Linked DNA regions of Lonchura striata. The protein of the gene in region 3 interacts with the protein of the main gene of each other region in a pairwise test. Links are inferred from orthologs where the notes say so. Each region holds a gene or a part of one and is shown on either strand. Other genes may lie near its edges. The genes, in order: COX17, KLC4, KATNAL1 and KATNBL1.

Evidence for each region.
Region 1: the proteins of KATNAL1 (region 3) and COX17 interact in binary tests that used the Homo sapiens proteins (3 or more experiments, as listed by UniProt). The two-hybrid records come from large-scale screens. The link is inferred for Lonchura striata from reciprocal best matches to the Homo sapiens genes KATNAL1 and COX17.
Region 2: the proteins of KATNAL1 (region 3) and KLC4 interact in binary tests that used the Homo sapiens proteins (3 or more experiments, as listed by UniProt). The two-hybrid records come from large-scale screens. The link is inferred for Lonchura striata from reciprocal best matches to the Homo sapiens genes KATNAL1 and KLC4.
Region 4: the proteins of KATNAL1 (region 3) and KATNBL1 interact in binary tests that used the Homo sapiens proteins (3 or more experiments, as listed by UniProt). The two-hybrid records come from large-scale screens. The link is inferred for Lonchura striata from reciprocal best matches to the Homo sapiens genes KATNAL1 and KATNBL1.

The regions. Positions count from the first base shown.
Region 1 is NC_134604.1:27,333,530-27,340,744, forward strand, and holds COX17 (cytochrome c oxidase copper chaperone), read right to left. Parts: upstream 3,199-7,215; 5' UTR 3,099-3,198; coding exon 2,980-3,098; intron 1,501-2,979; coding exon 1,416-1,500; 3' UTR 1,392-1,415; intron 997-1,391; 3' UTR 789-996; downstream 1-788.
Region 2 is NC_134605.1:18,667,521-18,675,377, forward strand, and holds the start of KLC4 (kinesin light chain 4), read right to left. Parts: upstream 3,237-7,857; 5' UTR 3,106-3,236; intron 1,532-3,105; exon of another isoform or gene 1,403-1,531; intron 1-1,402. Other genes in the region: MRPL2 (large ribosomal subunit protein uL2m), read left to right, coding at 3,330-3,579, 3,651-3,792, 3,880-3,995, 4,085-4,195, 4,508-4,581, 4,671-4,883; cullin-9, read left to right, coding at 6,461-7,085.
Region 3 is NC_134604.1:68,165,621-68,172,958, reverse strand, and holds the start of KATNAL1 (katanin p60 ATPase-containing subunit A-like 1), read right to left. Parts: upstream 3,089-7,338; 5' UTR 3,001-3,088; exon of another isoform or gene 2,912-3,000; intron 1-2,911. UniProt on the Homo sapiens protein: Regulates microtubule dynamics in Sertoli cells, a process that is essential for spermiogenesis and male fertility. Severs microtubules in an ATP-dependent manner, promoting rapid reorganization of cellular microtubule arrays.
Region 4 is NC_134608.1:31,725,667-31,733,410, forward strand, and holds the start of KATNBL1 (KATNB1-like protein 1), read right to left. Parts: upstream 3,024-7,744; 5' UTR 2,918-3,023; intron 1-2,917.

The DNA.
Region 1 (7,215 bases), about 41 Mb from region 3:
TTATGAAGCCAGAAAAGCCCCACTTGTAATAAACCAGAAATCGCACCTAATGTTTCTCTAGATTACAAGAAGGAATCAAAAGCAACAACTACCATTTCATACAACACTATCATCTCATACAAGTGAAAGCAGCAGCCAGAAAACAAAAGCCCATGCGTGCATAGCACAAGACCAACTCCACAATAACTCAGCATAAAAAAAGATTTACTTTCAGGCAAGTAAATAAAACTCAGCATAAAAAAAAAAACTTTACTTTCAGGCAAGTAACCTGCACATAAGTCTCTTGCAGTGATAGGGAGCAGAACTCTGCTCCCTTTCCCTTGAAGAACTACTGGCTCAAGCAAGTTTGAGGTGGAAAGTACCTAATTTTTCATTATAAACAATCAGCTCAGGTAACGGTATTCAAAAACAGTCAGAAGAATTCGAACATGGGGAAATCAAATACAGTTTTGACTCTAAGGAAGTTCATTTCATAAGACTGTGGTCACCTTTGTACAAACATAGTTACAGCTAGTGTCACAAACAGCACTGCAAGCTTCAGCACGGCTGCTGAAAGCTGCTAGAGCGCAATGCTACTAGCATGATTTCACAATTTGCATCAGTGGGAAAACCCACCAAAGTTCTCTCTGCTCAACCACACCACCTCAGTAATCAGTAGGAAGAAAGAGTTCCTACGTTAATGATTAAGCAGGCTTTCCTCATTCTCTCATTCTTGCAGCATGCTGTTTTCAGTAAGGAGGGCACTGTCACTTCTTTACTTAAAAAGAAACAGAAGGCAGGAACACTGGTCATTTTCAGGGTTTTATTAAGAGGAAAAAATAATATTTTCTATAGCAGTGGTCAAGAGCAAGCAGTGGAAAAGCTACAGATGTGATGCATACTCTATCTTTAGACTCTTCATAAATAGACTCTTTGTTTATATTTGTTCTTTGCAGTAACTTGCAGAAATAATTTATTTTGCAGCTTTCCAGAATGCAGTCACACCAAAGACATCATCTAGAAGAGAAAGGAAACACAGCTTCACAAAACATGGTTTTCCACTGGATATTGAGCAACAGTTCAACAATCAACAAAAAAACCCCAGCACAAACCCACAAAAACCAATTCCCATGTGTCCTAGCACCAGAAATCTAAACTGAGGTTTGGATCTCTTAGCAGACAACAGAGGCAGCACCATTCTACTGCTGAAGAGTGACTCATAGAGGCTGTGTATTGCCAAGGGCTTCACCACCCTCACAGGACAGCAATGTTGGCTGTAATGCCAATGAGGATTGCTCTGCCTTCCCTCTCATAAGGGCAACACCATCACGAGCACTACTCTGGGCCTTCCAGTGGTACCAGCTGAAGTGCCAGGGCACTTCAGAGGCAGAGGTCCTGAAGGCTGTACTCACCCCACTCAGTCCTGCTCATCTCACTCATATCTTGAAGCCCAGAGCTCTCATACACTCTTTGTGAGCTTCGATTAGGTGCCCACAATTTTCTTCTCCCTTCTCAATAATGCTGCAAAACAAAAAGATTTCCAGGGTTCAGCAATAAAATGTTCACTTACTTTTAGTCAAAGAAACAGAATTGACAAGCTGTTGGGGACAATTAAAAATCCCTATTAGGATCTAGAGATTTTCCCATCCTGTCCAGGGTAGTGCTGTGTTGGACAATATAAAACTATCCCAAAATGTTACCCAAATCTGGAGCTGTGCACCTAAAACTCTGACAACAGGCATAACAGAACTTCCTATTCACAGGCCAGGGTCTATTCTGGGCAAGTCCGGATGGGGATTTGTTATACAACACAAGACTGTCACATCATCAAGTATGCTGAGCTGGCCAGTTTCCAATTATTCAGCATGGAAGCAACAAAATTTCTCCAGTAACAGAACAATACAGAATGGGCTAATCAGTAAATTATATTTTAGTCCAACTTCAGTTGCAATTTAAGGACCCTGAAGCAAAAAGCAAAACAAAACACAACACCTGCCCAGCTATTGTTGAAAAAATGATTCACCATATATGATAACTTTTGATGTTACTCATCTATCCAAATAAAAGTCTCTCATTGTTGGTATTATCATGTATACCACAAAAGCAGTTCAGACTTGCTTTTTGACTGAATGACAGAACTGTTTAGTTTTTTTCTTAGGTTTTTTTACAATGAGCATAGACATCCCCTGGCTGCCCAGGGCAACTCCATCTGACCAGTACCATCCACCCTACCATCGTTTTCTTAAGGGTCCCTGTATTCACCCTCACTATACTATGTAATTAGACATGTTCCCCTAAACTTAGCAAAAACAGTGTTCAGTATTGTCACCTACCATCTATACCACCAGCAAAGTTAAAAAAAAAAAAAAAAAACAAAGAGACAATTTGGTCATCAGATTAAAGATTTTTAAACCTTAAAGATTCACTGTCAAAGGAGCTCCATTTTGAGGGTGCACTTCATACTGTTTTATAGGTCCTACAATCACGACTAAGCCTGTAATTACCAATGCAGCTATACAGGTCACTGTCAAATTTTGAACTTCTCTGGGAAATGTCATCCTCTGAGCCTCAAAAAACCAGAATATTTTGCTTTATTTAAAAGAGAATGTAATTTATACTCAGGTGAACAACAAAGAAGTTATCACCTGCTGATACGCGTTGCTTCAATCAACAATAGTGAAGATCTACAAAAACCGTCAGAAGAATTCGAACATGGGGAAGCAGCATTAAAAGCTGATCTCTGAAACCTGTTTTAAACGCGGGCTATGCGGTTTTAAACCATTCATTTCTACAGCGTGTTTTTACGCCAGTTTCCTCTCCTCCACGCTGTCCCTCCTCCCTGGGAGGCTGCGGCAGGGAGAGCGCCCTCAGCCCCTGCGCAGGCCGGCGGGGCACGCACTCGGGGAGGAGGGAATGCGGCGGGCAGGGCGCACAGCCAGCGGCAGGGCGAGGCCCGGGCACGGAGGGGCGGCCGCGGGGAGCTCGGCGCCGGGTCCCTACCAGGCGTCCCGCGCCTTCTTGGTCTCGGGGCAGGCGCAGCAGGGCTTCAGCGGCTTCTTCTCCTCCCGCGCCTCCGCCGCGCCCTTGCCGTCGCAGCTGGCGGCGGCCACCGAGGACATGGCGGGCAGCTGCGGCTCCCTCAGCCCGCGGGCAGGACGGGCCGGCGGCCGTGCGAGCGCGGCTGGTTCCGGGAAGCCGCGGCTGGTGCCGGGAAGCCTGGCCCGCCCTTCCCGGCCCGCGGCCTGCCGGGAGGGGCAGGGCAGCCTCCCGCCCCGCCTCTTCGCGGCCGTCGCGCTTCGGCGCTGCCGCCGGTGCCGGGGCGCGAGTGGCGTACTCCAGGTCACTCGGTAATGAACGAGCCCGAAGGCACGGAGGGAGCTGGCAGCGCGGGGGAAAATAGCGTCAGGCGAGAGCAGCGAGTGACGCCCTCGGCTCTGCCAGCGCCGGCTCCACCCTTAAAGCTGTGCCCAGCCGCCTAACCTCTTCCTTCCCACCCAGCCAGCGGGGAAAACACGGGATCAGTTCATTGTGAGGGTGGTCACACGGATACAGCACACTCACCATCACTGGCATCATTAATGTCGCGGTTTCATGGCAGCGGCCCAGCAGGGCCGGCCCTTGGCATTGCTGCAAAAGGATGTGCTCTGATGCTTGATCTTTTATGTTTTCAAGCTTAAGCAACAAGAAGGGATATTTAGTTTGTGAAACAGAGAGCAACTAACGAGCTCCAAGTGCTGTCCATGCTTCAGTGATCTCAGACCTGGGAGGGAGTAAAAAGTCCTGGAAAGAAGAACGTGCACTGATACTGGACACAAAGAATGCAGAATGTACAGGCCACAAGGACATCTGGCAGAACTGCCAAGATAAGGAAGAAAGCAATAAAGTCAACTCAGCAATTGTGTTAAAATAGCTCCAACTGGGTAAAAATTAATTCTGGTAGGGGGAAATGGTGTCCACCAACTCAGGTACTACTGACCCCAGAAACCTACTGACTCAAGTAGAAGACTGAGCATGTAGACTATTTAGCATGAAAAGCGTGAAAATCATTAACCATAAAAGATAGAATACTAATTTATAAGAGAAGTATGTAACTTGTAAGCAATGAACATTAATTCCTTTGTTTGCTAAAATGTATAAATAGCAAAAAGCTTTGGTACTTGGTGTGCTTGATCTGTGGAATACCACAGAACACCCAGGTTTGCACAACTCTAAAATAAATAATCAGTATCTCTGCTGAGTGTGTAATTACTGGGTTGTTGCATACCAGGTAATGTATCCAACTTTTGTGGACAACAGCATGGGCAATAAAGGAGAAGATACAGAGCTGCTTTTCCTTTGTAGTCTGTCCCAATCCGAGGCATCAGAAGCCACTCTTGCCTTTTAGATCTCTGCCACATACAAGCCACAGCTTGGCTTTTAGCTCTTAGGCCATAGTCTGTCACCTCCCAGTGGTACATTTTTGTTTGTCACCAGTCCTGATGACTCCAACGTGATACTTACACATATTAGTCTGGCAGGCACACTGCAGACCAAAGCGGTGACCCACACAGGTAATGGGGGAAGGGCAGGACAGCAGTGGATGTGACACTGCTGAGACCTTGCAAAGGGAAAAGATTAATATGCCCACTGGGATGCAGCTCCTGTGCCTTTAAGTGGGATGTTGTAAGAGTCAAAAAAGAACTGGCAGTTTCTATCATGTACTAAGGGGATCCAAAATCATAGGAACACTGACAAGAGCAAGGAGGAACAGAAAGTGTCATGTAATTGTAGCACTCACTCTCTCACTCACTCACACACTCACTCACTCACTCACTCACTCAGTCACGCACTCACTCACTCACTCACTCACTCACATAATCACCACTGAGTTATCCATGGATCTCTGCTCAGTAGCCTGTTCCCCACCATGCCATTTCTCTGGCAAGGTTGTTCAGGTGACCAGCACCCACACAGCCTTAAGCACATGTGCATTGTGAGGCCATGCCAGGTGTGATGATCTGGAATATGTACAGGTTGCACTTGTTGACCAAAATATGATTTTCCCAAATTCACACAAACATGCTGCAAGATAAAAGCCGAGATTGAAACATCTATCAAAAGCACACATCAGTTCTCCAAAGCAATGCCTTGTTCCTAGTTTGTTAAACATACTAAGCATGTTTTCCTTTAAAATTAAATATCTTTCTCTTTCCTTCCTAAAGCTTTATTTGCTGACCACTTTCCAAAGGCCTAAATAGAGTTGTTGATAGCTCTATCTAGCACAAACTTTGAGGGAAAGACTGTAATAAAACCTCCAAGAGGGTTTCTCAAGTTAGCAGTTGAATCGTATCTTTTATTTAGCTTTTTTAATATTAAAAACAAAGTTTGAAAGTCATTGATTTGGCCTGTAGAAGCCAGGAAGACACAAAGCAAAATACATTTTATACTCTGGCCCAAGTTATGGAATGTCAAGGGAAGAGGGAGATTAAAATTTAGTCATCATCATCTCTCAGATGACTTTAGATGGGTCTGCACAAAAGGTATGGCCTCTGAAGACTAAACATCTCTGGAAGCAGCATTCCACTCTAGCAGCCTTCCAAAGGCTAAGGAGGAGCACTGCTATTTTGGCCATGTTCCCTGCAGGGTGTTTGTACAATTCTCTTTGTAACAGAATTGCCCCAGAAAAAGGAATAATTTTTTGGTGGGATGAAAGGACAGAGGCTGGAAGGGAGGAGAAGGAAAAAGAATATCCATTAAAGCATGGTTAACACATCTCAATACTGATTGCACCCATTTGGAGTACAATGCAGAGGCGAGACCACAGCCATTTCTCTTCTGACACTGCACTGTGCATAAGAATTGATTGTTAACTCAGTCATTTTTGTTTTCTATTTCTCTTCTGCCTACTGACAGTGGCAGAAGAATTATGTTAGAGAGCTATGTGTCAGAATGAACAGATTTATCTAGTAGACAAGAAGAAATAGCTAAGGGCTGGCTACTGAGATGAGGCTGCGAGAAAATTGCCAGAACAAGTACCCAGGAAAAAAGATCCAGTGAAAATCTCAGTCTCTGAAAGAGATAATGAGAAAAGACCCTCCCTCAAGCTGCAGTATCATTTGGCAGCCTGGTGCCATATGTCAGAGTACAAGGACTGCAGGGTAGCACTGGACATTTACAGCTCTTGACTTAAAGGACTAATGGGTGAAACAGGGAGAGACTACCCAGCTGTCATGGGTTTCCAAATTATTTCCTCTGTACAGCCCTTTATCAGAGTTGAAGAATATAACAGCAGTGGCTCATACTGTGTGAACATCACAGCAACACTGCGTCATTGCCACTGGCTTCCTGTGTATTCAGTTTCACCCACTAAAAGAATGGTTACCCAAAAAGATGTCCTTGTCTCCAATGGACAGATTTTTCAAGGAACCTCAAAAGTGTATTTACATTCATTATTGCTGTTAGGTTGGGTAAGCCCCTATCAATGTCGGTTGAAAGTAACAGTCTAGGGCAGTCTGGGGTTTTCCAGGTTTTCTACACTTCTGAATTACATGATAGAAGGTACATTAAGCTTTGGAAATTTTGTGTGACGAAACTGAGCTGAAGGTATTTTGATATTTTCCACGTATTGCCTATTCTGGGAACCACTTTATTATCTTGAAAAAAGAAACCTGTTCAATATAGTCTAAAGAAGTACTTTTGGTTTTGACTGAGTATAAACATAAGACAGCCAAGGCTCCAGCAGCCCAGTCAACCATATGCTGTGTGTTTTACTGTCAAAGAAGTTGTTTATGTTTTGTGTTAATGCTTAGATAACGTGAAAATAAAGGATTTCAAAGCTCTGAGCAAGATGTCTTGTCAGGACCCTGCTGCCTCTTATATCAACTGCCCAAGAACAGGATAGAGTTTCTCTTTCTGATCAAAGCTGCAGACCTGCAACTGCCAAATGCTATCGCTCAGCAGTGGAACCAGATAGAAAATGAATGCTGGGATAGAAGGGCTTGTGCTCCAGTCTAGTACAATGGAAGAGACTCTAAAGTCATTATTTACACTCCCTCTAAGCTTCAAACTCCATCTTTATGTGAAGACAAGGGGTTCAAGCACAGGACTGATATCACCTCAAGAAGCAGGGCACCAGTTCCTTCCCAGACTGAAGAGGCAAATCCTCCTGTTTCAGGACTACAGTATGAATTCTGTACACAATGATTCTGTACCACAGGACTGAACCATCCCCTTCTTGGAAGACCACCTTGGAAGTTA
Region 2 (7,857 bases), on a different chromosome or scaffold from region 3:
AGTCTTGCACTATAAAAAACAGAGCGAGAGCCATTACCTTGCCCTGACAGCATGAAGCAGTATTAAAGCAGGCAGAGTAATTCCCAGGAGGTAATGCCTCTGCAGGCATCTGTCTAATGTGAGGGCTATGCACTAGATGTGCCTGAGCCATATACAGGAGATAACCAGGATGCAGATGGGACCAGCAGGAGCTCTGGAGCCACTCTGTGTGCCCTGAGGGACTCTGGTATACCCACACTCCCTCCATGGTGTACCTGGGGCACCTGCAAAGACTAGCCGACTGCAGGCTGCAAGACTGCACTACTATTTCCAAGAGCAAACAGCTTTTGTAAACCACAGCAAGGCAGGCAAAGTCATAGGGACAAACCTCTACCTGCAAAACAGGCAGAGGACCTGTTCTATCTTTGGCTTGAGCTCTTTGAGGAGCTATGCGGCTCTTTCTCAGCAAATCAAGCATTTATCCAGTAACTCTGCCAAGGTCAGTATCTTAACACATGTCCTTTGTGCCCCAAGAGCCATTTTGGTATTTGGGGTTAATGCTGTTGTTCTAACCTGGACATTCCTCCAAAACAGCAGATGAGAGAACACATGCTTCCTGCTCCTTCTGCCAATTACAGCAAAGCACAGCCATGTTTATTTACCCTGCGCCTGAGCTGGCCAGATCTTTGACCTGATGTGTGCTGAACACCACCCTCTTTCCCCACAAGCACAGGCAGGGGTGGGTGTTTTCTGCATCTCCAAGGCGGCGTGGCAGAGAGGAGACCAAGGGCACTAGAGGAGAGCCGAGCATGGAACTGCAGCAGAGTGCCAGATGCCAGCTATGCAAGACGCAGGGAAGCCTGCTGTTTCTGGTAATGTGCTGCTGCCTCCCACCATTGTGCAGATTTTCCCCGGCTGCCTGGCCAGAGCATTCTACCGCAACACCATCCCCCAGCTCTTCTTCAGACACCTCCTCCCAGGCGCATCTCTCCTTCACAGAAGCTTACCAGCGATTCCCCCAGCCTACCACCTTTGGTAGGGTGCCCCTCCACTTCGGAAAACCTTAGGATGCAGTTAATTAATGAAAAGACGGTTTGGGGCAAAACAAGTCTCTCTGAGAGCTACTGCTGTATGACCTGCTCCGTCATCGTTTCTCCGGCTTTGTCTGGCAGCAGGAGGCACGCCCGCTGCGTATCCTTGAAACAAACAAGCCAGAGAAACCCCTTCACCCCTCAGAACCACCACAGAGAAATTCTGCGCCCACCTGGCTAAGTGAAAGCTTCACAAGGGAAAAAAAGTTTTCATCAGCTCTGCCCGAAACTGCGCATCAAAGCGGTCCTTTGTTCCAGGATGGCTGGGCACCCTGCCCATCTCAGTCACCGGATGAGAATGTCCCCCGCCCCGCGCCGCAGAGGAGCGGTACCTGGCTGCCTGCAGCGGCTTGTCCAGCGCCGGTGCTCGCGGAGGCGGCGGAGGAGCGGCGGCCGCGGCGCTGCGCGGCTCCGTCTGCCGCGCCGCCCGGGGAGCGAGCAGCGGCGCAGGCACCCGGCGCTCGGCAGCCAACCACACTGCGGCAGGGGGAGGGGAGGGATGCGGACACGCTCCGGGAACAGGACGGTCGGACGCTCTCCTGGGAGCGCAGAAAGCGCCACGCACGCCAAGCTCACAGCTCCCTCCTCGGAGATCCACGGGAGCGCCCAGGAGCAGGGCCGAGCCCCCACGGTGCCGCCAAATGCTTCCCAAGCAGCACTGGCCACCACCGGGCTCCTGTTCAGCCCGACAAAGCCCCGTTCCATCCCACCCTCCATCCTGTGGCCGAAGGTTTTACATCCTGTTTGGTACCACCCTCGGCTGTGTCCCCACTGCTGACCCCATCCCAGCCTCCAAAGTCAAGCTGGTGTAGCTGCCGAGAGCCCCCCAGCTGCATGGAGGCTATCGCTGTGCCCACAGCAATGGACAGATTCAGGAGATCTGGGAAAGCTGGAGCCCTGCTGTGTCCACACTGCGCAGTGTGGGGTTAGGCCGGGTACTGCTGGGAAGCACTTGTTCAGTCTGGCTGCTCTCCTCAGAGAGGACAACGACACGGGATCCAGCTTAGATTGTTGCTACAGCCATCCCATGCACGGTAACACACAACTGTCACGGTGCTCCCGACGATGTCCCCAGCTATCTACATCTGCCTGAACCAGTACTGCACCGGTGTTCCTGTCCCTCCACACGGATTCCCCCAGACGGGGAAGGGCTTCAGGTGTCCCAGGAGGAACACAGCTCAGCCCAGCCATGTTGACACGCAGGTTCTCTCTTGCCTCATCGCACAACACATATTTATTAACTAAAGCACCTTGGTGCCCTCCATTCCCTAGTTCTGGAGGGCAAATCTAGCTGGCTGTGGGGGTACATACAACTATGGCACGCTTACATTTCACATAAGTTACACAGCAGAAGTGCAAACATAGATTATTTGTGTTACAGTGAAAGCCATTCTTGGCAATGAAGACACAGACTAATTATAGAGCAGTGAATCCCGCAGTCTGTGCCTACAGCACCCTGGAAACAGCCACGGCCGGGACTTCGGGCTGACCCACAGCTGCCACACACACATTGCGCTCTTCCCCCGGGGGCTCCCGGCCTCCGCCGCCCGTCCCTGCGTGGCAGTCGGTCCTGCCCGCGGGGAGGCCAGGCGCACCGAGCCCGCGTACCGGGAGCTACCCGAGCAGAGCGGGCACCGGCAGGGCTCCCGAGCCAGCGGCTCCCGGGGCTGAAGGGGGTTGATCCCGCAGGGCGCGCCTCGCCGGCTCCAAAGTCCGCAGAGCCGGCAGCGCCCTTAGCGCCGACCCGCAGCGTTACGGCGGGCACGGCCCGAACGCTGCCCTCGCCCCCGCTCGTCCCGCTGCCCAGCGGGCAGGGCGCCCCGAGCCTCGCCAGCCCAGCCCAGCCCCAGCCCAGCCCCACCACAGGGCCTCCCCAGCTCCCCGGAGGGTCCCACCGCCCCCCGCGGCTGGCGGGGCGGCGTCGCCCCGGGAAGGCCGCCCCCGCTCCGGCATGCGCCGCCGGGCTCCGTGTGTCCTCCCCATGCCAGGGTCGCCGAGGGAAGCGACCGAGCCCTCGTAAACCCGCCCGTCCAACCTGCTGGGCGCAAGATCTCGATGGCGGTCCCAGTCGCTGTCCCGGTCCCGGCGGGGGCGGGGCGAGACCCGCGGCCGGCACCACCCGCCCTCTCAGCGGCGCAGCCCCTTTAAATCCAAGATGGCCGCCGCCTCAGCCCCGCCGGCGGGAGCGCGCCACCTGCCGGCGGCGCCAGGTGAGGCCCGCGGCGGCCCCGCCCCGTCCGGCGGCGCCTTTCCGTGGCCATGGCGGCGCTGGGGCTCTGCCGCGCCTTCGGCGCTCTCCTGCTGTCGGCGGGCCCCCGCCGGGCCCGGCCCCCGCCGCTGCCGTCCGGCCCCCAGCCCTGGCTGCCGGGGCCGGTGTCGGCTCCTGCCGCCTGCCGCGGGCTGGGCGGCTCGGCGCCGCGCTGCACCACCGACCCGCTGTGGAAGTGCCGGGTCAAGTACACCGTGCGGCCCGTGGGCATGAAGAAGACGGGCGGCCGCGACCACACAGGTGGGCGGGCGGGCTGCCGGGGCCGGCTGGGCGCGGGAGATCCCGCCTGCAGCCGCTCCCGTGTCCCGCAGGCCGCGTCCGCGTGCGGGGAATCGGTGGGGGGCACAAGCGGCGCTACCGCATGATCGACTTCCAGCGCCTGCGCTACGAGGAGGGAGCCCCGCCGGAGCCCTTCACCGAGAAGGTCATCAGCGTCCGATACGACCCTTGCAGGCGAGTGCGGCGTGCGGGCTCGGCCCCGGGCCCGGGCAGTAGCGCCGGCCCGGCCCCCTGCTCACCCGCCGCGGGTTCTCCGTGCAGGTCGGCTAACATCGCCTTGGTGGCTGGCGGCAACCGCAAGCGCTGGATCATTGCCACGGAGAACATGCAGCCAGGGAACAGCATCACGAACTCACCTCACATTAGTAGGATGGCAGGTGCACGCCAGGGCCAGGGGCAGCTGTGCTGGTCTTGCCAAGGGCTCATCGGCTGCTCCTTGCCCAACTTGTCAGCTTCTGTCTTCCAGTGTCAGCCAGTGAAGGGGACGCGTACCCACTGGGGGCTCTGCCTGTTGGCACGCTGATCTGCAACCTGGAGAGCCACCCGGGGAAGGGAGCGCAGTACATCCGGGCAGCTGGTATGTCCCCACACAGGGAACCCACTGCTTGTAGGAGCTTGGCTGAGCACAGCTGGAGAGGATGGTAGGGGAGCACTGGCCTGTGACAGGGATTTGCCATCTTCTTATGTTAGAGTGCAACACATCCCTTCTGAAAAGCAGGGGCAGCTCTGCCCCGTTGATTCCTCAAGGCTCTGTCTTCAGCAAGAAGTGCTGCATTTAGTACAATAGTGGGGGCCTTTGGGGAGTTACCAGCATGGGGATGTGCTTGTCACAGGGTGAGATACTTGTCCTGCTGCTCAAGGCAGCTGCCTCCTCTCTTGCCTGCTGCAGGTACTTGTGGGGTGCTGCTGCGGAAAGTGAATGGGACAGCCATCGTGCAGCTGCCGTCCAAAAGGCATATGCAGGTAAAGGAGCTGTGCTGCCCCTGGCTCGACTGCCTGGGCACACAGCCGTATGCCCCCAGAGAGTCCTGCAGCTCTTCTCTCTCCCCTAGGTGCTGGAGACCTGCGTGGCCACAGTGGGCCGCGTGTCCAACGTGGATCACAACAAGCGGGTGATCGGGAAGGCGGGCCGGAACCGCTGGCTGGGCAAGCGCCCACACACGGGCTTGTGGCACCGCAAGGGTGGCTGGGCTGGGCGCAAGATCAAGCCTCTCCCACCCATGAAAAGCTATGTCAACCTGCCACGTGTCAAAGCAGTGGAGTGATGCCCAGGGCGAATAAAGCGTTTTTCATGCCGCTGCTGTTGCATTACTTTTGTCTTTTATGCACAGGGTCTTTCCTCACTTTCCCACGGGTCAAGTTCTGCTGTGTTCAGTCCCTGGCTGGAGTGGAATTGGTGGGAGAGATGAGTGTGGGGCTGTGGATTGCCTTGGCTTGAGTTTGAGGTTGGTGGGTGACCCGGTGCGGTCAATCGGCACAATCGTGTCAAACCTAGCTGCAGGACACCCGAGCTCTTCTCTCACCCTCAGCTTGTGGAGGAGTGAAGGCAAGCGGACTGGAAGGTGGCTTCCAGCCAAGGTGACTGGGAAGCTGCGAATCACGGACATCATCTCCTCCCAGCCCCGGCAGCGCCTCACTGCTCCCTGGCCCTTCTACCGCCGGCCGCTGCGTCCTTCCCTCGCCGCCTTCCCTGTCCCACCCTGCCCGTCCCTCTGCGCGCCGAGCGCCGCGCTGCGCTCCCGGTGCCCCGCTCCGCCGAGCGCCGAGCGCCGCGCTGCGCTCCCGGCGCCCCGCTCCGCGCCCCGCCGAGCGCCGCGCTGCGCTCCCGGCGCCCCGCTCCGCGCCCCGCCGAGCGCCGCGCTGCGCTCCCGGCGCCCCGCTCCGCGCCCCGCCGAGCGCCGCGCTGCGCTCCCGGCGCCCCGCTCCGCGCCCCGCCGAGCGCCGCGCTGCGCTCCCGGTGCCCCGCTCCGCCGAGCGCCGAGCGCCGCGCTGCCGCCCGCCGGCCCAGCCCTCGCGGCCGCCGTCGGGCGGGTCCGCGCAGGCGCCGCGGCCGGAGCGGCGCGGGAGCGGGGCGGAGGTAACGCGGCGGCCTCGGCGCGGCCCCGGCGGAGGGCGGGCGGCGGCCGGGGAGCGCCCCGAGCGGACCGGCCCGGGACGGGCCCGGGCCGTTTGCGGGAGGCCTCGGTCGCGGCCACCGGCCGGCCGGGCAAGAACCGGGCCGGGTCCAGTGCTCCGTGCCCGGCGAGCTCTCGCTTTGCCCGCGCCTGGAAGGAGCTTTGGTGCTGCCGCTGGCGCGGCCGGCCCGCACGAACCCTCTCCACGGGGATGGCAGTGCCGTGCCGCCTGCCTTTAGCATGTGTGCCCGGGCACAGGCCTGTCCCTCACCGTGTCCCGGTTCCGGCTGGGCCATGTGCAGCTTGTGCTGGCCTCCTGATACCGCATGTGGGCTCTGCCTGCCTCGGGCAGCTCGCTCCATCAGCACGCAGCCGGGTGTTATAGCTAAGCTTCCTGGGGAAAGCTGTCCTTCCTGGGCACTGCTGTCCGTATTCCTGCCGTGCCCACAGTCTGTTGGACAGTCCAGAAATCACTGTGTTTTGCCCTGTTATATTGTAACTATATGCGGCTTTTCAAGGAGAAAGTAAGCCATATCTCATACTTGCTGTGTTAGGGCTGTACAGCACTGTCCTTGAGTACAGCTGGTATAAAAGCACATTTTTATGGCTGCATTGCCATATCACCAGCACTGTCACACACAGGAACACGGCTCTCTAGCCATAGCATGCCTCAGCCACCTCTCCCCAGCTCCTGCTTCCCCTCTGTCTCTGCAGACACATCTGCTGCCATGGTGAATGAGAAGCACAATGGCACCCTGCTTGTGCAGCTGGGGCCCAAGCTGCAGGCCCGCCCAGAGAAGCTGCTCCGGCAGCGGCGGGGCCACGACGACCGTCCGGAATACCTGGTGCAGTGGAGCGTTGTTAGCTTGGAAGAGAGAGCAGCGGGAGGCGGCAGTGCCTCCTCTGGAGAGACCAAGGCAGAGAACATCTCCATGTGGATGTCTGCAGAAGAGGTCTGCGCCAGCTGCCCAGTGCTGCTGGGCCAGAGGAGGCCGGAAGGGCCAAGGCTGAAAGAGGAGAAGGCGCCTGGTCCATTGGCCACGGAAGCCTCGCTGGCCGAAGCCTCGCTGGACGAAGCCTTGCTGGACGAAGCCTCGCTGCTGGAGATGAAGGCCGATGTCAGGAGCCTGGTGCAGCGAGCCAGGCGCCAGGTGGCCGAGGCCGGGACACCCGAGTGCTCCATCCTGAGCACGGTGCACGTGCTGGGTGCCTACGCCAGCATCGGCTCCCTGGCGGGTGCCTTCAGGGAGGCGGGAGCCCTGGAGCTGCTGACGAGGATGCTGTGCCACAGGGAGAAGCAGATCCGCCGCAGTGCCGGCGAGATGCTGCACGCTCTGGGTGCACACGATGCAGGTGGGGGCTGCTCCTGCTCGGTGCCACTGAGGAGGGGTTGCTGGGCAGCTGAGGGGTGCCAGGCCTTTGGGATGGGTGAAATGCCTGGGAAGCAGCATGTCTCGGGGCTTCTTGGCAAAAGGGGAAGAATCAGTGTGGATCTTCCAGACTTCCATGGTTGCAGTTGTCTGGACTGCTCTTGGAGTTAGAAACTCTTTCCCCTGCCAGGTTTCTGAGCTGGGATGCTGATTAACTGTTAGGAGTGTGAAGGAATGTAAAGGCTCCTCTGGCAGCCCCAGCACCTCTGCTCCACTGCTGGAGCCCAGCCTGGGGAATCTGTAGTTTCTCAAGCTGAGAGATGCAGCTGTCATTTGCAAGTTTTCCATTTGCAGGTTCAACCAGTAGCAAAGCTGATTGCCCATCCTGTAGCACAGACACAGGCAGGACTCAGCACACACTTACAGCACTCACATAAACACAAGTACAGCCAGCCGTGTCCCCTCCTGCTCTTCGTCCAGCAGAGACAGAAGGTCACTGCAGCTAGCACGTACTGCATTTTCCACGTTCACAAGTACACACACATTCATGGATCCCTTGGGTACCAGCATGGCCCTTCTCTCCTGAACATGTGCCTGGATCCAAGCCCTTCTACCAGTCTCAGGGATCCCCGTGCTCATTGTTAAAGCCTGCTACCTGCCAGTAAACCTGTAGCACTTTTGTTCCACAGTTCACATTAACACATCCCTTGGGACTTCCAGCACACCCACCACCCACCTCATACCTTGGTCTGGAC
Region 3 (7,338 bases):
AAGGGATCTTTTAATTCAGTCAACTGCTTTCTGCTAATTGGTTTTTGGCCTCTTTGCACTGAAACTCTGTTTTACAATAGCAGACATGGAGTTAATGGGGAAATGTGTATGGGAAGTAGGAAGGAGAAGAAGCATGTGTGCAGGCCTCAAACTATTTTTGTGTGCATTCTTAACTTGAAACAGAGTTACTTGGAGTGCAAGTGAAAAAAAAAATCTTCAAATGAAGTAAAGACATTCACCACAAAAGTAAACACAGTAAGACAAAAGTAAAGACATAACAAAACACTGAATAGGTGGTCAGTCTTTTAATTAAAGATTAACTTAGAGATTTAAATTAGAGATTTCATTAGTTTGGTGAGCCAAACAGAAAGCATCCTGGAGCATGAAATAGCCATTTACAGAGCCTTTGAAGTACAGTTTTCTGAAGAAGGAGAAAGGAGAATCAGAGATGGCTGTGCTATTCCTAAAACTGAGTGTGAACTGTATCCTTCTCCAAGCACCTCATACACCAGTTTCAGACACATCCATATGGCCACACCACCATTACTTGGGGTAATGAGGTATTCATTAGCAAGGCCGGGTAAGGAAAAGAGCTAAAACAAATGCAGTGGGGTACTCTGGGGAGCATAACTCCATACACACACAGGTCAGGCAGTAACAGGCTTGCCAGCTTCTGCTCCACCTTAGCCCTGCTGGACCCCGGCTGGCTCCACACCTCTCTCTCCTCTCCAGCACAGCCTCCAGGGCTTCTGACATTAGTATCAAATCAAACCCAGGCCCATGTTCAGCTGGGACCAGCACTGAGGTGGATCAGTCAAGCCCTCCTCTGCAGGAGCAGGGCCCAGATACCTGAAGGATTCTTTAGGGCCTGTCTGGAGCGCAACGAAGTGGAACCACCCCGAGTCAATAATCCTTCTGGTCCTTTGTGGAGCCACTTGCTTCTCTGCGTATCATGTGCGTAAGCACTTCTGGTAGAGCAAACATGCCACCAAAGGCTCCCAAGATGGGCCTGCACAGAGCCAGCTCGCATTCAGAGCGTTTCTTAGGTCGGGCTCTGTGCCCAGAAGAAAAGCAGTGAAACTGCTCCTGCACCTGGCCTGGATACAGCACGCCCGTGTTCCCCCCATGCTGCAGCCCATGAGCCCTACCAGACCACAGCCAGCGCCACAGAGACTGGGTGCTGCTGCTGCTCCATTCCCAGCTCAGCCAAGCTGCATCCCAGATAAGCTTTCCATGAATAATTGCAGGTTTAATACACTCACACAGGTGTTTATAACCCTGACCCATAAGGTCAGAATTTTGGGCTGAATATTTTTACACCTCTTGAACCCCACTGTGAATTTCAAATAATTGGTTCTTTAAGACTAAGGATATGTATTATTCAAATAGAATAGCATACATTTTAAAAAATATATACATTTATAGGCATACTGCTGTTAGTGCTACAGACATCAGTCTTCAGATTTCTCAGTTCATCCCCAGAAAAATCAGTTGGTTTTTAATTAATTACACAGAAAGCCTGATAAAGGCCTATCTTTTTTTTTCTTGTATTCCATTTATTTCTCAGGCTTTTGATTTGAATTGGGTCAGGGCGAGATCTATTTCTCCCCATTACCTGCTCAAAAGCCCAAATCTCCAAGAGCCAAGCACCCTGGAAGCACGCTGCAGCTGCAATGTTCACTTCTGCAGTGTGGCAGGTACCAGGAGTTGCAAGAAGCTGAAGCCTGTCTAGGATATAGCTGACACAGGGATGGGGGAAAAAGGAAGAAAAAAGAAACTGCTCAACAATCTGCAACTGCAATCAAGCGTTCGTTGGAAAGAAACCCATCACTGTGAAATGTGAAACTGTAGTAGGAATAGACATTCAATATTCATATACAAGGGAGTACTAATGCACTGATGCTTTTAAGATAGAGATTTTCAGGAAGAAAAAATGACACCCCCTTATATACTAGTCATAAACATGTGTATTTTAAGTATGATATATAGAGAAACTGTAATTTTATTCCCCTCCATGACTGTTAGAGAACACAAGGTAAAAAATAACACGAGAACTGTCAGGAGAGGAAATGGAAAGAGAAAAGGGACAAATGCTGACATCATGGCAGAAATTTTTGGGAAAAGCAGAAATGTAGCAGAATAATTTTTAAAAGTTTACACTGTGTCCAGACCACGTAGTGAAACAAGCTCAACAGAGCCTAAGCGTTTCAGGAGATGTGAAAGTGGAAACCATAAATGCAAACTGGTTGGGGAAACTTTCCAGAGCTCCCTCTGACCATTGCCTCCTTCGTACCCATCCCCACACTCCAGTCTGCCCTGCCTTCTGCACAGCTCTCTCCGTCCATCTGCTCCAGCATTCCTCCTCCAGCACATCTCCATCCATCCATCCATCCATCCATCCATCTATGTTCCCATGTGCCCCTTTCCTTGTATTCTTTCTCTCCCGCCCTGGCATCCAGACGCCCCCCAACCCATCCTCCCCTCACCGCAGGCACCCACCCGTGTTTCTCCCGCACCCACCCCCCATTCGCCGCCCTGCCCTGCCCCGCACCTCCCCTCGCAGCCGCACCGCCCCTGCGCCCACCCTCCCAGCCGGCCCTGCCGCAGCGCCCCTCCCGTCCCGGCAGCGCCACAGGGGCTTCTGTCCCTCGCTGTTCCGCGGGGAGAGCCGCCTCAGTGCCCTCGTTCAGAGGGAGCCTCCCGTCCCCACAGGGGTCCCCTCCGCAGCACCCATCTCTCCCCCTCCGCCGGGAGCGCTGGGGGCTGTAGTTCCCTCCCGCCGCTTCTCCCGGCAGCCCCCAAGGCCCGGCGGGGGGCGCGGACTACACTTCCCGGCACGCTCCGCGGGAGATGGGGGAGCGCCCCCACCCTCCTCCAGCCTCTACCGCTGGTTTCCCCCGCATCCCCGCCGCCTCTCTCGGCGTGGCGGGGTCCGAGCCGCCGCCCGCCGCGGGCAGCAGCGCCGTGAGGTGCTGCCCCGTTCCCGGGCCCTGCCGTTACCTGGGAGAGCCGGGGGTGCGTGTCCGCGGGCGGGAGCGGCGCGGGGAGGGGGCGCAGCGCTGCGGCTCTGTCAGAGCGGGGCCGGGGGGGCGGGCGGGGAAGGGGGTGCGCGCGCGCGGCGACGGGCGGTTGCCATGGCGGCGGCGGCGGGCGCGGGGAGGGGACGGCCCCGCCGCTCCGGCCTCCGGAGCGCCTCCGCCGTGTCCTGGCGGCGGGGGAAAGGGATATTTTCCTAAAGGAAAACCCCGCGGCACCGCCGGCGATGGCTGCGGATGCCGCCGCCCAGCCCGCGTTTAGCAGCCCTCGGCGGGGCTCCGCGCTGAGCATCCCCGGAGGAGGCGGGCGGAGAGCGCCCCGCTGGCTGCGGGAGCTGGAGCGGCGCGGGCCCGGCGGGCAGGAGGGAGGGAGGGAGTGCCGGAGCCGAGCGCCCGGGCTGGCTGCTGAGCGCCCGCCGCGCTCTGCTGCGCCAGGACTCGGGCGGGAGGCTGAAATCACAGTCACAGGATGCCTCAGGCTGGAAGGGTCATCTGGTCCAAACTCCCTGCTCAAGCGGGGCCATGCCACAGCACATGGCGCAGGATTGCGTCCAGACCCTTCTTGAATAGCTCCAGTGAGGGGGGCTTCACAACCTCTCTGGGCAATCTGTTCCATTGCGCAGTCATTGCACACTAAAGAAGTCCTTCCTCATGTTCAGCTGGAACTTCCTGTGCATCAGTTTCTGCCCTTGCGTCGTGTCCTTGCGGCTGGAACCAGCGGGAAGAGCTCTGAATACACATCAGAGCTCGTTCACAGTCTGAATGCAAACCTCATGTGCCTCCAGCTCGTCTGTGGGTGTGTCTAGGAAATGCAGAGCATACGGTTGTCCTGCGTGGGCATGCAGAAGGACACTGGATTATCTTTTCTATTGCAGTGTAATACACTTTTATAGTACCGTAAAGGAACAGATTTAGGGATTTGCCCTGTTCCTGGACCAAAGTGGTATTTGGTGATCAGAGGCAGTCTCACAGGGTGGCACCACCCAGTTTGTGTCATCTCCTGAGGGTGAATGTTACCTAGTGTTCTGAAGCGTGCGGCTCACAGTCAATACTAGCAGTCTGGTGTCCTGCGAGGGGAGCCATGCAGTTACAAACCTTTCTAGGGATGTAATTTCACAGTTAATGCAAGACAGCCTGTGTCTGTATTGCCACCGAAAGGGGCAGTCCTGCATTCCTCTCTGATCATGGATATGCCTTTCTGTTTGTTATTTACACCGCAGTAACACTGATGATGCCATCTGGCAAGGCAAGCCTGGGATCTGATCTGGTGGACAGCCAGTTTTGCTCCTCCAAAAAATTAACCGAGTTCTGCTGGAACTGAAAGCTCCCGAATTAGCTGATTCTTAGAGGTGCTGCAGGCACAAGGAAGGCAGAGGAGATGTGGAGGCAGGAGTAGCCCATTGCAATCCCAGTGAATCCGAGTTGTGTTTCTGTGTGCAGCTGCACCACTGCAGTGAGCCCTTACTGCTGAAACTGCCTTGTGACAGCTCTGAGAGCATCCCAGTGACGATGATCTTGTGATCGTACCTGATAATAGTATATGATTTCTCTGGAAAATTTCTGTTGTTACTTTAAGGCAGCGGCATGAGGTTGTATCTCACAGTAAGGTTCTCAGAAATGCTAACTGACGCAGGTGAAAGAGCAGGGATTGAAACTAAAAGCTCAGTATGCCTCTTAAACAATACAGCATGCATGAATGTGTCTCTCATAGATCTGCAGATCTTGCTTGCCTCAAAATCATGTGGAGATTCTTATGTCTTTGTGAGAATTTTGGAACCAGGGCCAAAATCGTGATGAATTCATAACAGCTGCAACTCTGGCTTCCCCCTTTTCCAGATTTCTTCGAACTTGCCTGTCCATGACATCAATTCCTGCTGTTTTTTCACATATGCAGAAACATAGATGCTGTGCAGACCTTACAGAGTTCAGCCTTTCTAGGGGAGAGCAGATGATAAGCAGCTCTGTCCCAGCACTTCCATAATATCCCTTCCCACGAGACTATGTACCTCTTACCACATTAGGCAGCACATTAAGTGCTTGGTCTGAGGATTGTATCCCCCAGCCAGGAAATTGTGACCCAGAGAAGGTTGGTTATTTGGGCATAATCTCTATTTTTCTGGTTGTTTTTTTCCCCCCATCCCTTTTTCTAGTAACAATTGAGTCAAGTGGGGCTGCTTCCTAGTGGCAGAGGGTCCCCATGCTACAGCTGACTTCCCTTCTGAAAAGCAGTTGTTCAGCACCAGAACAATACCAGTGTCAACCTATTTTGACCACTCTGAGGGGAAATTTGGTAAGCATGGGTCTCCACAGTTTGCCAAGATGTGCTGTGACTGTGTCAGCAGGAAGAACTGTGTCTTCAGGTTCCTGGCCACGCACCCTAGATATACAGGGTAATTCATGTTGGAGGGGACCTCAGAAGGCCACCTAGTCCAGTCAGGCAATCAGAAGTTCATAAGCCTGTTAGTAAGCCATAAAAATGATAACTTTAAGTGTGCAATTTCTTAGTCTTTCCTAATGCTAGGTCAAATTTGAGCAAATCTCGCTGGACTGCTGCAAAAAATATGCTTCTCTGACCTCCTTACTGAAGGTTCCTGCCTCTACAGCAGTCCCTGGATTGAAAAGCACTAATTTTTCTAAGCCATTTTAATGCAAAATATGATGTTAAAGTAATCTTATGAGCAGTTTAAGCTAATTTTCTGGACCTTGTGTTGAAACAGCTGGAACTAGTGTGTGTCTCATTCCACCAACTCTGCTGTGAGGCATGAATTTCAGGCAAAGAGGAGGTAGGAAATTGCTGGGAGGGGAGGTGACACCTTAAGCCACTGAAGCTTGTTCTACTCTGAGCATATTCTCATGGTTTACAACTTCTTTATTTTTTGATAGAGGCTATAAACCTAGCAGTTCTGGATAAGACATGATGATGGTGGGTGTCAGCGAGTGTGGTTCGGCAGGATCCAGATGTGTTGGTGGAGGATAGCATTACTCACAGCCAGACCCCAGAGACTTATCATGGCCCTTTCCAGCAATCTGCAAATCTGCCAGTAGAGCTGATTGTGTGCCCACTCACTCTGATTTATTCTAGTCAGTTCAATCAGAAGCTGATAGAAATTAATGTAACTCTTTTGCCATGAACATTAGATTTGGTTCAGAAGTGTCTCTTCTGCTAGAGTAATTGCAGACACTGTCAGAGAAGTTTAAAGCTCTGCACTCTTAGGGTCTCTGACAGATTAACAAAACTGGTTTCTGAATTGATTTGGTTATCATTACATAAATTCCACTGACTAGAGGGCTGGCGCAGGCTTTTAGCACAAAGTAGCAGAGAGCTTCATTTGTAACCTCCTCCCACCCACAAAGTTCTGCAAGGAGAAGGTTGAAATCATGTGAGAGGTCTGTGAATTATGAACTGCCCTCTGCTTCTGTCTTCCCTTCCCCTTGCAATTATATTTAACTAGACTACAGGAGTTATTGTGCCTTCGTAATAAGCTTTAATGCTCAGATGCAAACATAACTCTTTACCGAAGGTCTTACAGGCTGTATGGAGAAATGCTGTAATAATGAAAAGGGAAAAACAATAGGGAAGCAGTAGGGAGAAGAAGGTGCATGTTACATATTCATGGACATTAACCTTGCAAGGGAAGTTATGCACAAGTCAGTAAAGGCATCAGTAGGCTGTTAATTTTCATACACGCATAGTAATTGTTCTTCTGCATAGATATTTTTATGGAATTATATTTACCAGTATGACACATCCACCAATTTTTCTCCTAGGAAAAAACTTCAGAGTCTGAACCCTGAGAAAGATTTAATCAACATCCTTTCCACAAGGCACATCTCAAAGTGCTGTCAATTTATAATAGAGAACAGTGTAAGTTGATTTTTAAACAGCCAGAAGGTGAGAGGTGGAATAGGCAAGGATGTTTTTATTTATCTGGTCTATGTAGACATCTGTCATGTAGACTTTTTCCTCTGAGTTAAGATTTTGGGGATACAATTCCTGCTTCAGCCAAAGTGGATTGTGCTCTGAATGTGCTTATTTTTTTTCCAATGCTTACAGCAGACTCATCTGATCAGCCTAAGTGTGTTTGCACTGTAGATGTCTAAAGGTAGGTGACAGGAGTCCCACCCAATGTGTTGAGTTGTTAGGGCCCTAGAGAGAGAAAGCTGTTATAGCAATTTTAAGTTGATTGATTAAAATGATGAAGAATAGGCCAGTGTCACTTTAATGTAAATCACAGGTGGAAGAGAAGACAGATCTTTGAGATGAGTTGAAACAAGCCAACAGTACACTGGGAAAAAAACTCAC
Region 4 (7,744 bases), on a different chromosome or scaffold from region 3:
ATCTCCCCCTTTTATTCTCTTCAATCTCCAGTAAGAAGAAGGACTAAAGTAATAGCAGCCATGTCTCCTGAGCATAAGCTGGTTTGTCCCTACACACAACAGACAGTACCTGTGCGAAGTTTTCTTGATGGTTTTACTGGTATTTTCTATCTCTGATCTCTCCCATATGCAATAAAACTCTTCAGGTCATACCAGAATTAGGCAAAGAAATCAGCACTAACAGGCTTTCAAGTGCATATCTGTCCAAGGCAAGTATTAACAACTCTGCCACTCCCTCCCATGTCCTAAGTTCTGGGCACGGCCCCCAGAGAGGGACAAACTCTTCTTGGCACATTATGTAATCTACATGCATATTAACATAATAAAATTTTCTTACAGAACACAGGCTGCCATACTTTGCATGGCAGTAAGGAAAACCTAAAATAGTTAGATCTCTTAAGTCATCAGCAGTACCTTTTAAAACACACACTCTTCCATCCTATTCCTTGTCCAAATTCTTAATAGCTACTTTTTCCTGCAGCATGCCCCATGCACCAGCCATGGGAAATGCTCCTGTGATATTCCTCCACCCCACAGTAGCCCAACTGCAAGTTCAAGGATGACAATATTAAACTCAAATGAAAAGCCTCATTAATCATTACTCCCAAGGAAGAGAGCACATGCTTTGAAAGCATTCCAAATAGGTATGCATCAGGGTCAACTCATTTAACTGGCCATTATCAGATCTACAATGGTCACAAGAAACTTCCAAGAATGGTTATTTCAAATTTATTTCCAAAAGGGTAATTTGCTTACAACAATAAAATAGCACTATCTTATGACGTAGAAGTGATTTTGCAAGCTTGGCATAACTTCCTTTCATTTTAGCTCTGATAAATGTTACAGAATCCATGTGTCTTTGTGTTTTAGAAGGCTTCCACATCCTTTGCATAGGAAACAGTTTGTTTTTTTTCTAATTCCTTTTTTAGTAATTGATGTACTCACCAGCTGTTAAAATTGAGTTTTCTTAAAAAGAGGAAGTGGCATTCAGATTTTAAGGAGTATGTTAATGCAAAACTTTTCTGCAACATTATAAATAGTGGTATATGCCAGCAGAATACAGTTTTTTAATGTGCTACACTTGTCAGGGCATTTGTTCCAGATGTTGGTAAAAACTACAGGAATTTCTCTAAATTTGCAGTAAATAAAAATACTATTTGAACAACTAATTATGGTAAATTAGCTTATACCTAAGATTTAAGTTCATTTTCCTCTTACATATGAAATTTGTATGTGGCCCACTGTTAGTCATAATGAACCTTCAAAGATAACCACAAGTCACAGCTCATCCAAGTTTAGTGAGGATGAACCCAGGTGTGCATTAGCTTTCATTGTGGAAATAGCCCAGGAGTCTAATAACTGAACCTTACTTACATTTTCTACAAAAAAAAAGTAAAGAACTCAGTTTTCTGCATCTGGAGGTACCATTTAGAGGTATGTAAAGGTGCCATAAAGTAACAGCAGCTCTCAGTGGTTAAGTCCTTTCTGAAGTCATCTTTCACTAACGAAAAGATACTTCTACCTGTTGATCTTTACTTATGAACACTCTGGTGACAATAAGCTTGAAAAAGTTTTATAACTGAGAGATGTTAAAAAGCTTTTATAAACATTATAAAAGAAATACATTTCCACAACACTAAAGCTTCCACATTAACGTCTTACACAACTCTTTAAGAAACTACCCATGAAATTAAATACAGCAATTTCTTCTACCATTTACTGCTCAACCCAAGGAGTTTTAAAAAACTGCAACAAGAATGTTGAACTCAAACCCAGAGACAGACATACTGACAAACCCCTCAAGCTCCAGACTTGGTGGAGGTTAAGGAATTATTCACTACATGCCCACCTGGCTGAACAGTCTGTCACACAATTTTCACATGGCTTTTTATGCTACCCTCAAATACATTCCTATTATTGACTGTAGTCTGTTTACAGCATTTTAAAAAACTTTCTTCATTTATAGTCAAGCTTCTTACCCCAAGACCAACACACAGTAAAAGTGGGTATGAAGTGATGTATATAGATACACGTGGCTGTAAGAATATATGTGTATCAGCATACTGACATACACTTTCTAATATACATACAAAAAATACCTTCATAATGTAATTTTTAACATAATGAAATTCTGAGTTTTAAAGTTTAGGAATTCAAATCAATTCTAATTTTAGTTCAAGAATGTCTTCTTTCCTATCAGCAAGGCCAAAGAGGCACAAACTTGCCTTCTGTTAAGAGATGGACGAAAGCTGCTTTTAAATAAACAGACTTAACCTTTCTCCAAAGCAGAGCATGTTACAAAAACAGAAACAAAAGATTTCCAAGATCATCACGTAATCGCTCCTTAAGAGAGCTCTCTATACATAACATCTTTATTTTAAACCTGCATGCAAAACTATCCAGCCCAACGCTGAAAAAATAATTTGAAGCCTTTTGAACGAAGTAATTAATGCAGGATCTGATCTTCAAGCACATAAGGTCCCCCCTCACCCCCCCCCCCCCGTCGTAACCCTGGAATCTGTCACACCCAAGAAATTAAATCCGTCAGCAGGCCTCACACCCAGCTTGTTGTCCTCCCTGTCGGCAGCACCAGAGCCTTCCCCGCTCTCCTGGCACGGCCCCGCCACTGCACGCGCCTGCTTCCAGCTGGGGCTGCCGGCACCATCTTGGAGAGGCGCCCAGCGCCAGAGCTCGCTGTCCGGAGCCGGCGGGCACCGCGCACCGCGGGCTCGGAGCGATCCGCGCCCGCGCACTGCCCGCGGCCCCCGCCGCCGGCCCGCCCGCCCGGCGCGACGCCGCGGAGCCGCGCCCGGTCCCGGCGGGGCAGAGCGCGGCCCCGCCGCGCTGCCGTGGCTGCGGCCGGCCCCGCGGCACTCACCCGCTGCTCATGTTCGGGGCCGGGCCGGGCGGAGGAGCGGCGGGAGCGCTACTGCCGGGGCCCGGCGCCCCGAGCCTGCGCCATTCAAACGCCGCCGCGGTGCACGCCGGGCCGCGCGCGCCGCGCCACGCCCCGCCACGCGCGCCGCGCGGCATCGCGGCGCCCCCTGCCGGCCGCGGCCTCGCGCCGCGCCCCGCCCCGCCCCGCCCCTCCGCGCCGCGCGCTGCTGCGTCACTGCGCGCGGGGAACGCCGGAGAGCCCCGGCATGGAGCGGCCGGGAGGGAGCCGGGGAACGCCGGAGAGCCCCGGCATGGAGCGGCCGGGAGGGAGCCGGGGAGCGCCGGAGAGCCCCGGCATGGAGCGGCCGGGAGGGAGCCGGGGAACGCCGGAGAGCCCCGGCATGGAGCGGCCGGGAGGGAGCCGGGGAACGCCGGAGAGCCCCGGCATGGAGCGGCCGGGAGGGAGCCGGGGAGCGCCGGAGAGCCCCGGCATGGAGCGGCCGGGAGGGAGCCGGGGAACGCCGGAGAGCCCCGGCATGGAGCGGCCGGGAGGGAGCCGGGGAACGCCGGAGAGCCCCGGCATGGAGCGGCCGGGAGGGAGCCGGGGAACGCCGGAGAGCCCCGGCATGGAGCGGCCGGGAGGGAGCCGGGGAACGCCGGAGAGCCCCGGCATGGAGCGGCCGGGAGGGAGCCGGGGAACGCCGGAGAGCCCCGGCATGGAGCGGCCGGGAGGGAGCCGGGGAACGCCGGAGAGCCCCGGCATGGAGCGGCCGGGAGGGAGCCGGGGAACGCCGGAGAGCCCCGGCATGGAGCGGCCGGGAGGGAGCCGGGGAACGCCGGAGAGCCCCGGCATGGAGCGGCCGGGAGGGAGCCGGGGAACGCCGGAGAGCCCCGGCATGGAGCGGCCGGGAGGGAGCAGGGGGATGCCGGAGAGCCCCGGGATGGAGCGGCCGGGAGGGAGCCGGGGAATGCCGGAGAGCCCCGGCATGGAGCGGCCGGGAGGGAGCCGGGGAATGTTGGATGATCCCGGTGATGGAGCGGCCGGGAGGGAGCAGGGGGATGCTGGATGATCCCGGTGATGGAGCGGCCGGGAGGGAGCCGGGGAATGCCGGGGAGCCCCGGCACGTAGCAGGCGGGAGGGAGCAGGGGGATGCCCGATGATCCCGGTGGTGGAGCTGGGGGTCCGCGCTCTCTGCCTGTCTGCCGGCCGCCAGTGACGAGCCATGGTTAGGAGTGTGCAATGCCCAGACTGACTGAGAAACCCACGGTAGCTCCACGCTCTGCTGCATTATCACAGAACCACAGAATAAGCTGATTTGGAAGGGCCGCACAGGGATGTCCAAGTCCCACTCGTGCATAGCACCATCCCCAAGAGTCACAGCATGTCCTCGAGAGCACTGCACTCTGCCAGGCTGTGCTGTTCCAGTGCTTAAACACCCTTTGGATGATAAACCTTTTCCTAATTCCAACCTAAGTCTCCCCTGACACAACTTCAGGACATTATCTTGGATCCTGTTACTGGTCACCGCAGAGAAGAGATTGGTGACCCCTCCAATTCCCCTGAACAAGAAAGTTGTAGACTGCAATGAGATTTCCCCTCAGTGACCTCGGCCACTCCTCATATGGCTTCCTTTCAAAACCTTTCACCATCTTCATTGCCCTACTTTGGATGCTTTCCAATAGCTTAATAACATCTTACACTGTGGTACCCAAAACTGCCCCCAGCACTGGAGGTGAGGCTGCCCCCAGTGCAGAGCAGAGCAGAGCAGAGGGGACAGTCCCCTCCCTTGCCCAGCTGTGATGCTGTGCCTGATGCACCTCAGGACACAGGTGGCCCTCCTGGCTGCCAGGGCGCTGCTGACTCTGTTCAACTTGCCACAAACCAGGACCTACAGGTCCCTTTCTGTGGTGCTGCTTCCCAGCCTCTCGTTCCCCATTCTGTCCATACATCGAGGGCTGCCCATCCCAGGTGCAGAATCCAGCATTGTCGCTTGTTGAAGTTCATATAATTGGTGATTGTCCAGCCCTCTGAGATGGTGTCTCTGCAGGGCATCCCTGCCTTTGAGGGAGCCAACAACTCCTCCCAGTTTTGTATTATCTGCAAATTTGTTTAGTATCCCTTCTAGTCCACAAAGGGCTCAAATTTTGTAATGAAAATATAATTTCTGTCAAGGTCCCATTTGTGTTTTCAGAAGCACACAAGTTGTACTCTGGCTACTCAGCAATGACTGTGGACCATCTAGCCGCTAATACTGACAGGTTCATTATGGTTATCCTAGGGGTCAGCTGTAGTAAGTTCCATTAAAAATTCCCACTTCTTTTATGTATTTTTCTTTGATTTTGTTTTTGATAAGCATACTTTCAGTTGTTTTAAATTTGTATGTGGATCTTGAAAAACAGTTCCCTTAGCTAAATAGTCTTATACCTTTTCTGAATATATTCCTTAGCCTATTTTCCTTTAACTTACTTTTTTTCTCCCGTCTTTTCCAAATTAAAGAAAAAATTAAAGTTTCTTTTATATTTTTGGTTTGGTTTTGTTTTTTTGGGGTTTTTTTGTGGTTTTTGTTTTGTTTTGTTTTGTTTTTTGCTTTTTAAATTTAAACAGTTGATTAATTTTTTAATATTTAAATTTTTTTGCAAGACCTAATTGTATATTTTCAAGTAAAATAATTACACATGACAGATTCCAGTTTTTGTAGTCTATCTTAGAACAATGCTTTTTACTACTTACTGTGACACTAAGTGTGATGTGGTAGGATGGCTATGGACAAAAGATGGAGTAATTTTAGTCATTAGAAACATCATGATTGTGAATGGATTAAGCAGGTTATCATGAGAAAAGCTGACCAAGAAGTTTTATATATACACACTGCACACATTTCTGTAGCTGCCCTAAGTGAAGCTGTACGAAACATGAAGGGAGGAATGAACAGTAAGATAGCAGCAAGGAGCTTTGCTTGTCCGTTCCCCTCTCTCAAGGGCAGCTCTTTTGCAGTTCCTTCCATGGCTCCCCTGTAAATGAGTTCTTTGTGCATGGCCTGACAGATTTGAACAGTCCAGTCTTCCAGATGGGTGAAGGAGTCTAACTAGATGTCCTGGTAATTATGGTAATTATAGTGGGACAGGATTTTATAAGATCATGATATGTAATCTCAATCACGTTTTTCTGCAGGAGTGAAAGAATATAGATTCAAATATATCCAGGTCTAACATGGAAATGTACACTTATTTATATTCAAAAATTACTTACTGGCTCCTTCCTCTTGTATTCTCATATTTTCAACCTTCATACTGGTACTTACTTGCATTTTTAAAGAATTCTAGTGATTACATCTGGTTATAGAGAAGTTCAGAAATTCTGTAAGTTTTTTCCCTAGCAGTTATCTTGAACTCTAAATTATATGTTTTATGTCATCTTCACAAATGTAAAAGTAGCTTCTCTGACAATTTATAGTGTATAACATAAATTTTGATAGCAATTGTGGATGCAATACAGAAATCTATTGTGTACTAATTAAAAGCTTGAATGCAGCAGAGCAAAGTACTTGTGCAGAAGGCAAAGAAAATGAGGATATAGGATGAATAATAAATTCACTAAAACTGGTTCTTCTGTTCTGAGCTGATTAAGGTGTTCTGACTGTGTAGTGTTAATACCAGTAATGTGACTCTTTTCCTGAAACCTGCAAAAGGGAATTCTATAATGATATTTTTTTCTTATGATGCCTACTCCATTTATTTCCAGATTGCATTTCTCACAAACAGCCTACTTGGTTTTTCTATTTCTCCTGACATTTTTTCTGCAATAAACTTTTCCTTCCAGATGTTGCATAAGTAGTACTATCCAAATTGATGCAGTAATTTTACCAGCCTGGCTTCTTTTTCATTCCTCCTTAGGCAGAATTTAAAGTCAATAAAATGCACTGACATTTGTGGACCTTCTCCCAGATCTGCCTGGGCTGTGCAGTGGATGGGAGATTTGAGGGGGCGGTAGTTACTCCAAGACTATTAACTGTTTAATCCTTAGCCCTCAGGTTGGAGACAGGATGGCTCAGGCAATTGGTAATGGGATAAAGCTTTTCACCTCTGAATTGCCAGCTCTGGGCCAGAATAGTAGGACAGGTTATTTCCACCATCTGGTGTCTGGTCAGCGACCCATATGAGGGAAATCAGTAGCCATCCCTGCTACTGGCGAATAGCTTTACAATTAACCCCCCTCGCCCCCCAACGCTTACTGTGAGAACGATTGCGCCACAGACAGCTCCAAATGAGCACGAGGGCTAAAAATCCCTCTAGAAACGTGACGACCAGGACTCAGCACACTGAAGGGAGTGTGGGAAAATTTGCCAGCATGAGCTGTCAGGGGATACTGTTTCACTGGGAATATTCACTTTACACAGGAAGCTAGATTTTAGACAGCAAACCACGGATGATTCTTGGCTGAAAACAACAGCAGCTTGTAAGAAGAGTAACACGATTTTTCTGTCATGCAGAAAAAGCTGAACTTCAAAAGGCAAATATCTACCAATAATATTTCTTGTTGGCATATGATATCAATACTCAAACAGATGAAAAGGGTGGTCTGTTCAAATGTGTAAAGTTTTTGCAACCTGAGATAGATTAGCAGATTTAATGAATAAAGAATTATGAATCAGTGTGCCATATTGGGATTATTTGTAACAAAGCACTTCTGGACACTACATCCATTTCCTATTTTAGAAAAAAGGCCAGCATCCATGAATTGGGCTAAAGTCTGAATTTCTGAAGTCTTCTGAAGCAATATTCTGTCTGAATCAAGAAACATAAGTTAAATAGTACTTGAAAGACAAAA